Daphnia pulex: one gene and its partner. The protein of the gene in region 1 binds, or shares a complex with, the protein of each later gene. Links are inferred from orthologs where the notes say so. Each region holds a gene or a part of one and is shown in the gene's direction. Other genes may lie near its edges.

Region 1 (4,208 bases):
TTAACTTAGCATTTTGTTCGGCATGGTGTCATTCACGCAAGTGATAAAACTACCTGACCAGAGCCGCTACATTTTGCAAAGGCAGGATCAAAATTTTCTGTTATTTCATCATTCCTGTACGAAAAAAGAAAACGACTGCGACATCGAATACTGGAAGGTTGTTCGTTTTTCTTCATAAGTTGTTATTATTCACGATTTTATTTATTTTCAATATTAAACTATTTTATTTCTATATTATTTTATTTTATTTTATTTTATTTTTTTTTTACTTTTTTTTACTAGTGCGCTGTTCGTTTCTGTAGTGTTAGAATCTGCAGTCGTGGTACTTCTTTCCAGTTGCTATCGGAACTTGAAAATCACCATCACAATTCGAACAGCGTCTCGTCTACTACCATAGCATTCCTCCTTGAAAGTCAGTCCTTTGTCGAAAAAACCCTCTACCCAAGTAAAATGCGATCACGTCCGATTTCCACGCCTATTCGCGACACATCATTATCGCTTCCAATAGAGGTTGAAAGTACGAATCATAACGGATCCGTTCTCAAACAGTTGCTACTAACAAGTAATTATTTAAAACTTTTGCCTTTATTTTGTGTTGATTTTAGTAATATTATGATATTAATTTAAAAAATTTTCCCGTTCTCCATGATTCGCCCATGAATTTTTTGAAATTATTAATATTTTTAATTATTTGATAAGGCAATGAAGACGTCATCAGATCATCCAAAAAAACTGTATCGAAGCAAAGTTCAATAATGAGCCGAACACCCTCATCGGTACAACAATCATCACCCGTTCAGCTAACGAACAAACGCAAACAAACAACAGAACCTCGTCGGCTTGCCGAATCCAACGTCCACGTTGCACGCCCGACAACCCCGAAGTGCGTGCGAGATTCAGATTACTGGAGCCCTCCTGTCCTCACACCTCCACCTGATGGAAGAGCCTATTCACCTCCGTCAACTCCAGTGGCACACATTGAACCTTATGTTGAGCCTCAAGTGATGTACAATCCTTACTTCTTATGGCAACTTTATTCCTATAAGCAATCTTGCAGTAACAGTTTCAAATCATTCTCTCACAATTATTGATTCAGGATAGTTGTTGTCATGGCTAACGATTTATTTGTTAACAGGCGTGTTTAAAGAACAAGTAACTTATTGCTGGTAAATTATGTTGCTGTAATAATATTTGATTGAATTTACAATTTAACCATACACACATAGATTTAGCCGTCAGTTGTTGTGTTTTATTTTCTAACATTATTTACCATATTTTCTACAGCTTCTTTTTTAGTTCAGAGTTAATTCTTAATTCATATTCCTGAAAATTACCGCTTTCAAATTTCGTTTTTGACGTAGCTACAATTTTTGTCGCTAGATGACCTTAACGATTGTTGATCAACAGATCAGCAGACGGCTGAACAGGGCAATCACGGCAACATCAGCTGCATATATTTGCGCTGCAGTAGTCTAGTCTTTCATCTCGTGACGATAGAAGAGGCTCGAATATCCTGTCAAGAGCTTCAAAATGAAAACTTTTAAACTGATTGCTCATCAGAAACATTTTAGTGGTGAGATATTTGTATGTCTTTATTCTGCGAATGATGATGCTTAGCCTACTTATATTCTCGTGATGTTTTGTAGAGGAAGAAATAATTTTGAGCTCAAAAGATTTCCCACACGTGAAAGTGAGAGATGTAGTAGAAATATACCACCCTGATGTTGTTGGCTCCAGAGTTCTACTTCAAGTACATTCTTTAAAAGAAGAAATGCAAACAAAAGGTAGGCCTATTATGTTTGTGATTTTTAATGAATACTATGTTTGAATGCTACTGGTTCATCTCTTAATTATAAAAATGTGTTAACATTTAGACACAATCAGCATTGAACAGTCAATAGTAAGTATGTTCCAACTTCAAATATTTTTTGGAGTCCATGTGACTGTGATGGATCCAGCCTCAGCTGCTCTAGATTCTGTAGAGTTAACCTTCAAGGATCAGTATCTAGGACGTAGTGACATGTGGAGGTTGAAAAATTGCCTTATTGGCTCTTGTTTGTACATTGGGAAGAAATTGGAGTTTTGCAACAAGTCAGTTCGATGTCAGGTGAGGAAGTGTAATCAGTAATGAGTATTAAATTTGTTTATTTGTAAATTGTTTGTTTTTCAAATAAGGTTCATGAAATGTGGGGACAAGGAGAAAGAGTGGCATGTGGTGTGATTACAGAGGATACAAAAATTGTATTTCGTTCATCAACAAGTCAGGTGTATCTCTTCTTACAAATGAGCTCAGAAATGTGGGATTTTGACATATACGGTGATCTGTATTTTGAAAAAGCTGTTAACGGCTTCTTATCGGAATTATTCGCCAAGTGGAAACGCCATGGATCTAATCATGAGGTGGCATCGGTTATGATAAATCTTTAGCATTAAATTCATTAAACCTCTAATCTCATTTCCAGGTCACAATTGTTTTATTTTCTCGAATATTTTACGAGACAGAATCTTTGGAATACTTCCCAGAAACTGTGCGAGCGTGCTTGCAGCAAGATTACCGTGGTATGTTCTATGAAGACTTTTACCGTGTAGCTGTTCAAAGCGAACGAATGGAAGACTGGGCGTGTGTGCTGCCGCAACTCAAATTACTCTTTCATAACTGGCAGAACTCTGTGTTGGGTTACCATCAACAAAACCACCCTGACATGAACATACCTAAAGTATTTTTCTTCATTATTTGTGAATCATGACAAGAGTTCTAACATTTTCCTTGTTTGTAAATAGGGTGTTAATTCATGTGCAGCCCAAGGAAACTTTCTCGAGGTGCTTAACATGTCTCTAAATGTTTTTGAGAAGCACTACTTGGATAGAAGCTTTGACCGCACTGGCCAGCTTTCCGTAGTCATCACACCTGGAGTTGGCGTCTTTGAAGTAGATCGAGAGTTGACAAACATTACGAAGCAAAGGATCATAGACAACGGTAAAAAATTTCAACTGTTTTTATTTTTTTTACTAAATACTTTCTTATCGAGCATGGTTTCAATTAAATATGTGTTACAAACAGGTGTGGGGAGTGATCTGGTTTGTGTTGGTGAACAGCCTTTACATGCAGTTCCCTTATTGCAATTTCACAATAAAAGACATAGCGCTGCCTCAAATGACTTTAGTATGCCTCATTGGATCAATCTCAGCTTCTATTCTTCCAGCAAGCGGATTGGTTATTCTACATTTCTTCCCCGCATTAAGATGGCTCCCATTTTAAATAAAGAGACAACTCTTCACAAGAGCAAAACTGCAGGTACAGTAATTCAAACACTATTATTGAATAAGAGTCGAAATTTTACTTTAATAAAACTTTATCGTTTGTATTTAGGATTACTCTCGTCTAAAACTAGCAGTTCCATTAAAGTTGAAAGTAGTTTACCGAACTCTGTCTTTGACTATGATGCCTATGACGCAAAAGTGTTTGCGCTTCCAGTAACCCGCACTAGCAAGGTATTTGAATACGTTATGTCTCTTGGGAAAATAATCGGATACAAATGTTCTGTTATGTGCAGGTTCAAACTTTGATGCGAGAAACTCGTCATCGCAAAACCACCGCTATATCCTCAGAGGTGAATCGGTTTGATCGGAGCCGAGGAAACGCTAGAAGATCTCGTCTTCATGATATGGACATTTCTTTTACCACGGGTCACCCTGGTATATGAAATTTTTCTAATTTCCATGTTAAATTCTGTAAAAACATAGGTGCAAATTTTTTATTTAATAGGTGATGGACTCAGCAGCTCATTGATCAGTGCGCCCACTATGCTCAGCTGTTCACTCACAAAATCACCCTCAGTTACCATTCCAAAAAGACCAGCTGTCGACGACAGTTTTATTGCGTCATGTGGTGCAACTGCACCTCATCCACGTGTTCGAAGACCTAGTGGGGGTGAGGAGCGATTAGAAGATCGCAGGTCCAACACTCTTAGAGCTGTAGTAGGCAGCGCTGGATCACCAAGCGCTCTCGGAAGCAACACAGTGACGATAGGCGCCAACCCGTCTACTGTTACTTTCGATCCCAGTACACGTCAAATCAAAACTGGACGTGCTTTAATTAATCCATTCGATCCGAGCAGAGTAACAATTAAGTTAACATCCAATCGAAGAAGATGGACACACATTTTCCCTAAAGGTATATTTGTGTTGCTTTGAATTAAATGAATGCT
Region 2 (3,955 bases), on another chromosome or scaffold:
ATTCTCTATCATTATAATTATAACTTGTTTCTAAAAGAAGTTTTCTTTTCAAAGTTATTGGCCAGAAGTGGATGAAATCGTTCGAGTGGGATCATTGGTAATTAATTGCCAAGCAAAGCTGGACCATTTGGGTCCGTTTATTCACCGTGAATTCCTTGTAGCCGATGAGCAGACGGGAGAAATGCGAGCCATCTCGCATTGTCAGTATCTGGAATGGCCTGATCACGGGGTATTTAATTCATCAACTATCAATTTATACTATTAATAATTTAATAACTATTAATAACATCAATTATTTTATTAGGCTCCCGTTTTAGCTTCTCAATTTCTAGAATACGTCCGTCACATTCAGAAACTTGGCAATAATGAAGAAGAGAACGTGGTGTTGGTACACTGTTCGGCCGGAATCGGACGTACGGGAGCGTTTATCCTGCTAGATTCTGTTTTACGGCTCATGGAAACCGATTGCCCCATCAATCCTATCCATTTGATAAAGATGATGCGGGATCAGAGACCTATGATGCTGCAAACTTCAGTAAATAATGTCTTCCCGTTTAAAGCTTACTATCATATTTTGTTGTTATAAAAATTATTATTTCTAGATTCAGTTCCAGTACGTTTGCGAGTGCATCATCGAGAGTTTGCAAGGTTGAATAAGGTTGAATTACGTGTCTACCGGGAAATTATTATTCAGTCTATAGGAATCCCAAAATGACTGGGAAACTAAGTTTAAAAAAAAGAAGGCACTAGTCAAGAAGAGCGGCATCTACCATCTATTCATCAATTGATGGATTTGGCTGAATCTCAGCACGAGGCAACTCAATCCAAAGATATTTTCATTTTTATACATTCTAACCCAAATAGCTTTGTTCACTGCTACCAAAAAATTAACTAACTCATTTTGCTTCCATCGCATATTTGCCAATGGATTATTTGAAAAAGAAACTCACATTTTATAGCTACAAGTGCTAGATCTTCCACCATTTTGTGTTCCCAATCGAACAAAATACATTTCGTTTTTTTATTCTATGTTTGCCGACTTTTCAACACAAAAAACTTTTCTCATTCTGCTTTTGTGCTTTTAATTGGAATCGCAAATTTGCAATTCGCAACGTCGCAAGGGAAAATTCGTTGCTTTGGTTATGGTAAAATGTTGCAACTGTGTGAATCAGCAGACGACTGTGAGATTATTGTCTTTGTTGATGTTTTGGTGTGAATCATTTCCTTTGAATTCTATACCCTTTGTCCTATCGAGTATTGTCCCCAACTTTATCATTTCCTTTAGTTTCAAAATCCGTTGATACTTATTTAAGCTGCCCAGGGAAAACCTAGGGCTGTTGTGATCATTGCGATGCATCACATGACATTGATGCAAGAGGGCCCGATTAATACTCTTGCCCTCAATCGAGACTGCAATAAAGTTGTTGTTACCGGCAGAAATGGTAATGCTAATAATATTAAAACATCGAAAATTTAGTTCTGCTCACATTTTCATATTTTAAATTTTAGTTTTCAAGGTTTGTGAAATCAAAGACACAGGTTTTGTTGAAAGAGACAATATCCGAACAGGAAAGAATTCCAATCTAAATTTTTCTTGCAATGATGCCTCTTGGAATCCAGTTGATGGTAAACTTCTTCACTGATTTTAAGTTACATGATTTAACATGTCTATTTAACTAAATTTGTGTAGAGCAATGGCTGGCCACTGCTGCCACTAATGGAGCTGTTGTCTTATGGAACATTCAGAAATCTATTAAGCTCAAACAGGAAACAGTTTATAATGATCATAAAAGGACAGTTAACAAGGTATTATCTTAAATTTTTAGTTGCCTCATTTTGTTTGAAAATGCTTTTATTGGGGGAGAATGTAGGTGACTTTTCATGGCTCAGAACAGAACATGTTACTTTCAGGAAGTCAGGATGGGACTATGAAGTATTTTGATATCAGAATGAAAGCTGCAGTCATGACATTTGTCAGGTAAAACAAACTGAAATGTTATTAAAACTTGGATCTATTTAACTAACATTGTATGCATTCTCGAAATTTTAGCAACGCAGAGAGTGTACGAGATGTGCAGTTTAATCCATACCAGTGTTTTAGTTTCGCCGCTGTGTCAGAGAACGGAACCGTTCAGTTGTGGGATCTCCGGCGCCAAGACCGATCTGAGAAACAGTTTACAGCACACAGTGGACCCGTTTTCGCTTGCGATTGGCATCCTGAAAACAAATCGTGGCTCGCCACAGCCGGTAGAGACAAAGCCGTCAAGGTCTGTTTTTGGAAATTTTACGCGTTTATATTTTAATTTTTTTCCTCAGCCAGATGACGAACGAATGATTCAGCATTATACCATTAATAGGTTTGGGATTTGGGTTACCGACCAGTGTTGGAATACACGGTAACAACAATGGCTTCAGTGGGCCGTATTAAATGGCGCCCTCAAAGGATGCATCATATCGCCAGCTGTGCACTTGTTATCGACAGTGTGATCCACGTGTGGGACGTTCGTCGGCCTTATATCCCGCACGCTTCTTTTAACGATCATAAAGACATCACAACTGGTATTGCTTGGAGAGGTTCTCCGGACGTTCTACTTTCAACTAGCAAAGTCTGTTATATGAAAATGTTGAATTAATTTTTTAAAATCTTATCTGATTTGTTTAATCAAAATTTACTTAGGACTCTTATCTCATCCAACACGTTATTGCTGATGCTGAAAGGCCAATGGAAAAGGCCAATCCCATTTGTGTCACTTATAATTCTAAAGGAAGTTTGACATTGGCAGCAGTTGATAAGAACTCCAAAAAGAGTAAAATTCTGACACTGTGAGTTTTTTTTTTAAATTATATTTTCCATTAAAATAGACTATTTAATTTGTTAAACTGTTTTGTTAGACCCAGAAAATCTAAGTCTGAGTCTGAAGACTATCCGGCCGTCCGGTGTTCTATTTACGTTTTTGAGAACGAGAAACCCACACCTGCGCAAGTGTTTCGGGATTGCGCACGACATTACTGGCTGCAGACAACGACGGGAAAATCTTTGGGTGAAATTTGTGATCATAATGCAGTCGTGGCATCAAACGCTGGTCGGATTCAAATCGCCACGATATGGCGAGTTGTCAAACTTCTTTTTGGCTTTTCCGGTTTGGAATTGACTTCAACTTCCGCGGTGACGTCAGTCGGTTCCAATCGACCGACAACCGTCAGCAAAGAAGAATCAGAGCCAGGTGATTCCGGTATCAAAGACGCTTCAACTCGACCCAGCACGAGACACCAGTCCGGAAATGTCTCATTTCCCAATCAGCAGGCAACACAACAGTCTGAGACTTTGGTAAATGGAAGTGGATCTAATAACAGTAATAGCGCCCCAACGTCCAACAGTAACGAACGCGGAGTCTCGGACACTTCTGGAGGTGTCAGCGAAGAAGCCGAATCCGAGGTGGAAGACATTGATTCTCAGGTAAAAGGATATATGGGTGACAGTCGTTGCATTTAAAAAATAAATTCTATCATTTGATTAGGTCATGCTGTCACATATTGCGAGCGGTTCTCACTTTAATACGAGCGATTTTTTCTTCGGGGATGCCGAAGCCGATGTGTTAAATGACTTTAATGGAACTTCAGACTCTGTGCAAGGCAGGAAAATTAGTGGAGATACTGACCAGCAGCAGCAGCAACAACAGCAACAGTCGAATCAGATGGATTGGATTTTACCTAGTGAAGCCTTTCAGCTTCGTCACGAAATCAAAGATCGGTCTCCACCTCCGGAACACTTTCCCAGTCGCTGCTTTGCTGGAACTCGTATTGAAGCTCAGATGGTAGAGGTAGAAGACACGACGTCGGCTCTTTTGTGTTTACCTGGATCGTCCAGTAGTCTCGGCACGACCTGCTGGAGTGGCGTTTCTAACGCTGTAGAGATGGTTTATCACATGGCCGAAGACGGTGATGTCCAAACAGC

The links.
Region 2: GATOR complex protein Iml1-like (region 1) and GATOR complex protein WDR24-like share a complex: the UniProt entries of both Drosophila melanogaster proteins name them as parts of the GATOR complex. The link is inferred for Daphnia pulex from reciprocal best matches to the Drosophila melanogaster genes Iml1 and Wdr24.

What each region holds. Positions count from the first base shown.
Region 1 is NC_060021.1:10,273,209-10,277,416, forward strand, and holds the start of GATOR complex protein Iml1-like, read left to right. Parts: upstream 1-1,408; 5' UTR 1,409-1,530; coding exon 1,531-1,573; intron 1,574-1,646; coding exon 1,647-1,784; intron 1,785-1,874; coding exon 1,875-2,107; intron 2,108-2,175; coding exon 2,176-2,400; intron 2,401-2,462; coding exon 2,463-2,717; intron 2,718-2,781; coding exon 2,782-2,977; intron 2,978-3,061; coding exon 3,062-3,295; intron 3,296-3,370; coding exon 3,371-3,492; intron 3,493-3,554; coding exon 3,555-3,696; intron 3,697-3,766; coding exon 3,767-4,174; intron 4,175-4,208. Other genes in the region: uncharacterized protein LOC124194533, read left to right, coding at 23-157, 283-562, 700-1,091. UniProt on the Drosophila melanogaster protein: An essential component of the GATOR subcomplex GATOR1 which functions as an inhibitor of the amino acid-sensing branch of the TORC1 signaling pathway.
Region 2 is NC_060022.1:5,701,308-5,705,262, reverse strand, and holds the start of GATOR complex protein WDR24-like, read left to right. Parts: upstream 1-1,155; 5' UTR 1,156-1,351; coding exon 1,352-1,442; intron 1,443-1,509; coding exon 1,510-1,626; intron 1,627-1,690; coding exon 1,691-1,806; intron 1,807-1,871; coding exon 1,872-1,978; intron 1,979-2,050; coding exon 2,051-2,267; intron 2,268-2,357; coding exon 2,358-2,606; intron 2,607-2,677; coding exon 2,678-2,823; intron 2,824-2,892; coding exon 2,893-3,457; intron 3,458-3,518; coding exon 3,519-3,955. Other genes in the region: tyrosine-protein phosphatase non-receptor type 4-like, read left to right, coding at 55-229, 305-535, 603-653. UniProt on the Drosophila melanogaster protein: An essential component of the GATOR subcomplex GATOR2 which functions as an activator of the amino acid-sensing branch of the mTORC1 signaling pathway.